2 linked regions of the Bombyx mori genome follow. The protein of the gene in region 1 binds, or shares a complex with, the protein of each later gene. Links are inferred from orthologs where the notes say so. Each region holds a gene or a part of one and is shown in the gene's direction. Other genes may lie near its edges.

Evidence for each region.
Region 2: F-box only protein 11 (region 1) and S-phase kinase-associated protein share a complex: the UniProt entries of both Homo sapiens proteins name them as parts of the SCF(FBXO11) complex. The link is inferred for Bombyx mori from reciprocal best matches to the Homo sapiens genes FBXO11 and SKP1.

The regions. Positions count from the first base shown.
Region 1 is NC_085131.1:4,835,316-4,839,618, reverse strand, and holds the start of F-box only protein 11, read left to right. Parts: upstream 1-1,491; 5' UTR 1,492-2,011; coding exon 2,012-2,108; exon of another isoform or gene 2,109-2,358; intron 2,359-3,226; exon of another isoform or gene 3,227-3,347; coding exon of another isoform or gene 3,348-3,411; intron 3,412-4,156; coding exon 4,157-4,303. UniProt on the Homo sapiens protein: Substrate recognition component of a SCF (SKP1-CUL1-F-box protein) E3 ubiquitin-protein ligase complex which mediates the ubiquitination and subsequent proteasomal degradation of target proteins, such as DTL/CDT2, BCL6, SNAI1 and PRDM1/BLIMP1.
Region 2 is NC_085119.1:7,149,710-7,153,036, forward strand, and holds S-phase kinase-associated protein, read left to right. Parts: upstream 1-1,403; 5' UTR 1,404-1,550; intron 1,551-1,641; coding exon 1,642-2,130; 3' UTR 2,131-2,810; downstream 2,811-3,327. UniProt on the Homo sapiens protein: Essential component of the SCF (SKP1-CUL1-F-box protein) ubiquitin ligase complex, which mediates the ubiquitination of proteins involved in cell cycle progression, signal transduction and transcription.

The DNA.
Region 1 (4,303 bases):
ATTGCGTACGAAAATACCAAAAGCATTTTTTAATTTATTTTTCTCGTTTGGATTTGTTGACAATTGACATTTTGACATATAAACACAGACCTTTATAGGTTTCATACTTCAGTGTATAAACATGACATGACATTCCATTTGCAAAGGAATATTATAAGTTGTTAAAAATATTATAAATATGCACTAACTTAACCGCTGAGCTCTTAAAGGCTTTCCTGTTTTACATAACCGAGGCGACGAGGAAACGCAAAGCCATCGTCCCCCTAAACGTATCTCGTCGGATCCCCCGGATCACCTCTCGGAATTTTTAGGCTCTTCAAAATTCAAGCACCGGCATCGGTCACAGTCTTCGTCGGACTCGTCAAATGTGAAATACAACAAAGAGTTCGACGTGCAGCAGAGCCCACAGACATATCCACTGAATTTCTCACCAGATCTTCTCCATGGGGCGCGATTCCGATCCAGTGGTAGATTCAGCGAAGCGCTGCTCTTGTGTGTGTGCTCTAGTGTTACCAATTCTCTCAAATTGAGCCCACGAGCTCACCTTCCCGTCCGAGCATTGCTGGAATATCCCCTTAGGCTACCAGCGATTAGGTAGGGAAAAAATAAAAATACTCTTTGATCAAAGCTCATTACTAGTTAACTGTGGTATGGTAAGCTATAGTATTTTTACTATGTACAATTCTAATATTTGAAAAAGTTTTCCCAAGTACAAGTAGTCCCAGCATGCTGTCTATCTCATTCTCGGTGCCTGGACACTTAAAATATTATTTTAGGTCATACATAAACTATATGTTTAATAAAGTATCTGAATAGACGAATCCCTAAATTGTGTGTAACTACTACAACAGAATATTGTTTGAAATGATATAACACTAAGATTGCGTCAATACTTTTTGAAAGCAGTAACTGAACAAAAGGTCTCACTGACCACAATTAGAGACACAATTAGTACAAGATGCTGTAAACTAGTGTTATTGGAGCCTATATTGATTACACATTACATGTTAATCACTGCCATTGCTCTTTTATTTTTTTATTGCTATGTTGGATGGACGACCTCACAGCTCAGTTTTTACAATACTGTTAAAATTAAGACCTTAGAACTCTTGTCTTAAGGTGGGTAGCATTTACGTTTTTGATATCTTTGGCCTCGGTGACCACTTAATAGCAGGTAGTATGAGAGCTCGTCTACCCATATAAGTAAGAAAAAAAGTACAACGGCTACCCTTCCCTTCCCCTTCAAAGTCTATAAACCGAAACGCATTACTGCTTCACGATAGAAATAGGCAGGGTGGTGGTACCCACCTACCCATGCGAGCTCACAGGACACCCTATCACAAGTTATAAAATAAGCGAGTGGTGGTATCTATCTGCCTGTGCGTGCTTACGAGAGGCCCTACCGTCAGTTAAGATTCGAGGTTAGAGAATATGGAGATTAGAGGTTGGACTCTCATTGATAAGCCTACTCGTCAACATATTTATCACATTATCTTAATTTGTCTAGCAGCTAATGATGCAGGTAATCTGAAAATTGAGTAAAAATGATTATTATTATTATTATAAATAAAGTGGTTTCAATACAATAGGTCAGCAAATATTGTCAGCCAGAAATTCACTGGACCGGCTCGAACGTCTGAATACTCTGAACATTACAGCTCGAAAAGTTTTGTTATAGGTGTCGCTGTAAACGTCGTCGCCATATTGACTCCCGAGATCCGCCATATTTGCTGAGAATCGGCCCGTTGCTTGAGGGTGGTGTGAATTTATTGAGAATAATAACGAAATAATGATTTCAAATAGAAATATACAATAAATTTTATTGTAGTGCTTACTGTTTTATTCTGAAAACCGTTTTTTGCGTCTCCCTAGTTCTGCTAATGGTGCTTAATCTACATTTCCCGTTTCGTCTACTCGATCTAATCTAAACAGAAAATGGCCGACGGTGTTGGTGCGGGTGTCTCCTTTGTTTAGACCTGAATTTTAGTGAATATAAGTGATAAAAGAAATAATGCCTAGTGCCTCGTTTTCGTCTTCGCGTTCTTACGTACGTAGATCGCGGAGAAAAGGCGGTCATCGAATACCACTACCTTCTAGGACACAATCGAGTAAGTAATCCGGGTCGACCGAAGTCGCCCAGACTTAGCTAAAGCTTTTATATTGTCGTTCTCGCCGTGGTCAAATGTCAATAGTAATCGAATATTTCCATATTTAAAGGTATTTGCTTTATATAAAAGGAAATAAAACAACATTCTGGACTGTTTGTGAAGTGAAAAAATCAAGTGAAAACGCTATTCAATTCGAAATAGTTGAGTGCCGTCGATCGTTGTTCCTGTTAAGATTATTGATGTGTTAATCGTTAGTTCCATTACTAACCATTTTCATGATAGTATTAGCTGCGCATTTCGGTGACATTTTGCGCATTATAGATATTGATTTACAAGATGAAAAATATTTAACGTATGATGAAACAGCTGTTTTGTACATGCTTAAATCTTCGGAGCGTGTTCGATTTGCATTACGAAACTATTGCAATTTCGCTGAAGCCTAACGCAGTACAATTAATTTTCACTTCGTATTGCTTTGGTATTTAACATTAAATGTTATATGAATAATAAAAGCAGTACTTACAATAGATTTATAAATTCTGTGGGAACATAACTCAATGTGTTATTTATTACGAAAAGTTTATCTATACAAAGTTAGATGTTGGTCAAAATTACTATATGAAATGGTTTAATATGGTTAAGCGTGTTTACATATCACAATTTTGATTGCAGTAATAAATAGGCTTTGTAAGATTTTATCACAATTGATAATGTAATTGAATCAATCAAAGAAAGTAAATATAAATGAAAATAAGATGTATTAGTGTTACTAATTAGATATTGAGCTAGCTATATAAAAAACGTGGGGTAAAGTTAATTTAAAATGTAAAGTTATTATGTTTCACATATTCATAATGCAATACAAGGATAGGGTTGTATTTTTAGCAACAAATCAAATACTACTTTCTAAATGAAGGCATGTATCTGTGAGGTTATTACTCAAGAATAATCTGAAATTTTAACTTTATTACTAATTTACATATGTTCCTAATTTTATCCATTCATAAAAATAGTGCAAAGATAGCTATTTCATTCTAATAAGATACTTTTCATTTGTACTCACTTTACAAACATTAATCATTTTGATCAATTTTCTTAAATTTAGGTGATCATTTCAGTGGCAAGCCATAATGATACACCAAAATTATCATAACCCAACTGCAAAAAATGGTTTTCGATGTAGTCTCCTTTTATATAAATTTTAAATTACACATTAAAAATTGACAAAAGGCATACAAAATGCCGAAAGCACGGAACAAAAGTACAAGAAGGAAAGGAAGGAAGAACAAACCTATTAAGAAAGGTATAATAAACAAGAAATAGTACAAAATGTTCATGTTTACAATTATCAAAATCTAATCACTATCACTTAGTATTTGGTCTTATAAATGATTATAGTACAGCTAGTAAGACTATGAGTAGTCTGCCTGCTATACATTGATGACCTTTACAATAAGAATTCATTAGAAAAACTATTAATCAATACAGGAAGTAAGTAATTAAAGGACTTAAGAAATAAATATTGAACATTTCCTATGAAACATTACTGAAGTTAAATTTTAGTTCAATTAAAGCATACTACTTCTAAAATATAAATATTTCTAGTTACGAAACTTTAAAAGGACAGTAGTGATTTATAAATTTATATTAAACAAAACTATCAATATTTAAGTGATGAATATTTTCCCTAATAAGGAATTTAAATTTTTTTACATAAAGCTACATTACAGAATTGTTAAATATAAGTAATTTGTTTGTTCATGACAACAAGCTTACTTTATCAGGATTTAGCAGATTTATTTGACATTGATATTCATGTTAATGTGTTTGGAGTTAAATTGTGGTTAGAGTAAAATCCATATTTTTTTCAAGTGAAGAATATTGCACTAATGTTATATACAAAAAAACTGACAAATAATTTCAATCAAGTAGAATAACTTTTGATACAATTAATTAGTACATGAATATTTTTCCTTTAGGCTTACAAACCATAGTCAATGATTAATAAAAAAATTAGTCATATAAACAGATCCAATGACTATTTTCAGGTGAACCATGTGAGTCAGTTCCAATACCCAACAACGTCACGGGCAGTGCGATGGCGGCGACGGCCGCGTGTGCTGGCCCAAGCGGTGGGGGCGGAGCACCACCCGTACCTGCTGCTGCACCCGCCACCACCGCCGGCCATCATAGCC
Region 2 (3,327 bases), on another chromosome or scaffold:
AAAATCTTGCCAAATAAATTAAAGTTTATAATTAACAAATAAAAAATAGGGGTTGATCGTAGAGGGTTGAAAATTTCAGAGTAATATGAATTTTTTTATTCTACGTCATGACAAAATAAAAACAAAATTCTCGCAAACAATTTTAAAGTTTTTAATTAGCAAATAAAAAATAAGGGTTGATCGTAGAGGGGTGAAAATTTAGGGTTGTATGTATTTTTGTATGCTGTATCATAAAAAAATAGAAATTAAAAATTTTGTCTAAAAAATAAAAATAAAAATTTAGGGGTGGACTACCCCTAACATTTAGGGGGATGAAAAATATATGTTGGCCGATTCTCATAGATACCGGATAAGCACAAAAAATTTCATCAAAATCGGTCAAGCCGTTTCGGAGGAGTATGGCAACGAAAACTGTGACACGAGAATTTTATATATTAGATTTCTTCTTTACTCCATTCACAAGTTTCTTTTTTTTTTTAGTTGTGTGGGAAACTAAGTGTGTATCTATGGTGGGAAATGAATGTTGGTGTTGGAGGGACTTTTTGGCGGGAACGCGAGGAGTGAAGTGGTGTGATTTGTTTTATTTTGTCTATTTAGTGTTTCTTCAGGTTTAAATATGTAATAACGGTGGCTTATTAACTGTTTAATATCTGTGAAAGTGCACAAAAGTGGGAAAATGAAACAAAGCTGCTGGACGTAAGTTCTCGGGTTCCTCTAAAAAGTCTACTGAAAAAATCTCAGTAAATGACCACCATTTTACTGAGATCATATTTCATCCCATATCATCAAATTTCATTTAATTTCATCTAAGTTGATTAATTTCTCAAATTAATCATCTTCATTTCATTTCATTTATCTCCATATTATCATTTTTCATAAAAATAAGAATATAAATTAAAATAAGACATGACTTAAAGGTCTTAGTTATGAGGTCATAAAATCCCTTAAAAAACAATTGGTGTTGGAGGTACTTTTGGCGGGAGCGCGAGGAGTGAAGTTGTGTGATTTGTTTTATTTTGTCTATTTAGTGTTTCTTCAGGTTTAAATGTGTAATAACGGTGGTTTATTAAATGTTTAATATCTGTGAAAGTGCACAAAAGTGGGAAAATGAAACAAAGCTGCTGGACGTAACTTCTCGAGTTCCTCCAAAAAGTCCACTGAAAAAATCTTAGTAAATAACCACCATTTTACTGAGATTATATTTCATACCATATCAACTCATTTCATTTAATTTCATCCCAGTTGATTAATGTCTCAAATTAATCATCTTCATTTCATTTCACTCCATAATAAAAAATTTATAAAAATCTGAATATAAATTAAAAAAAGACATGACCTAAAGGTCTTAGTTACCAGGTCATAAAATCCCTTAGAAAAATTTAAACGAAAGCAGAAAAAAAAACAAAATTGATTAATGATTTTATTCATTCGTTCACTCATTGATTCACTGTTTGGGTTTAAGGAAAAATCTCCAGAACATAAGGGCATTTTCGTTTGAAGATAAATAAATTTCACTTAATTGTGAACATTCAAATACTTGAAAAAACAAGGTAAATACTTCGCTATTTATAAATTGGAAAATGGCGTCTTATTCTCAGCCGTCGTTTTATGATTTACGTTCCCACCGCTCTTTTGTTCTAGATGCCAAATATTAAGTTGCAATCATCAGACAACGAGGTCTTCGTTGTTGATGTTGAAATCGCCAAATGCTCCGTAACTATCAAAACTATGCTAGAAGACTTAGGCATGGAAGAGGATGAAGAGGAAGTTGTACCTTTACCTAATGTCAATTCTGCAATACTCAAAAAAGTTATTCAGTGGGCTACTTATCATAAAGACGATCCTCCGCTACCAGAAGATGACGAAAACAAGGAAAAGAGGACTGATGACATATCATCATGGGATGCTGATTTTTTGAAAGTTGACCAAGGCACACTCTTTGAATTAATATTAGCTGCAAATTATTTGGACATCAAGGGTTTATTAGATGTCACATGTAAAACTGTAGCAAACATGATCAAAGGAAAGACTCCTGAAGAAATCCGTAAAACGTTCAACATTAAGAATGATTTCACTGCTGCAGAAGAAGATCAGGTTCGTAAAGAGAATGAATGGTGTGAAGAAAAGTAAACCATAATAAATGCTATTTGCAAGCATCTTTATGTATTATCACTATGTATGCAACATTAAACTATTTTTCCCATGGCAATAAAGAATAATTAATTTAAACCAAGTAAATTTGTTTGTGTTGTAAATTATATAAAAATAGGTACATCATGTCATTGTGATTTTCAATAAAATTTAAATTTTCATATTATCATTTAAATTACTTTTCATTTAACTTTAATTGTATTATATTTATTGGAAAATTTACTTTATGAAATAGAAATAATTAGCATAAATCACTGACTTAAATTTTTGTCATCTGCTTATTTTTTAACTAATTGTGTGGGTAGTCTTGATTGTGTCCAGAAATTGCCAGTATCCATTGCAATGTTAAACCACAAAAATAAGTTTGTCACCATCAATGTCAATACAAAAAGTAAATAAATATACAGTCACAACCGTTTACTGCGACATCATTTTGAGCAACATGCTGGTTATAATAACCTAGAACAAAGGTCCCGGCTGAATGCTATATGACCGCCTTATTAAAAACATTGCTTTATACGACATTGCTAATACCGACATACCTAATAAAATGACCACATTTAACTAATATTTCGGAGAATTAGATCTGTTAGAACGACCGGCTAAGCTGTATTGTAAACAATTTGAATAGGTATCCACATTTGTCTTCAATGGCTATTAAAATCAGGAAAGAAAACAATAGGATTTTGTTTAGTGTAGGGTCTTTTCTAATTCTTAGAAACAAAAATGTGTATGCGGTAGAGTCAAAGCCCACTTCTTCATATCTTTTCAGTTAGTTTGTTACTTATCTATACACAAGACACACCAAAACTTTGTGGAGTTATTCGTGAAACTTTCAAAATGTTGCAAAGAAAAAAAACAAATTAATAACAAAGAAAAATTGCGTTTTGTGTAAATATATTTTTCCAATAATTCACTATCGATTTGTTTGTACTTTGTTTGTACTTGCACGATACACATTAAACATCACTGGTTGTTACGACTGAATATGAGCAGTCCCTTCGATGTTGTTATAATAGATTTTCACTGTATATGTATGTATTTGATAACCACATTCCCTTAGTCAGTTCCTGATGCTAAGATAGAATTAAACCATCAGCATAACAAATGAAAATAATATATATGAAACAATTTTTTCCTCTTAGATATTTGTCATTAAAATTACTTTTAAAGCTT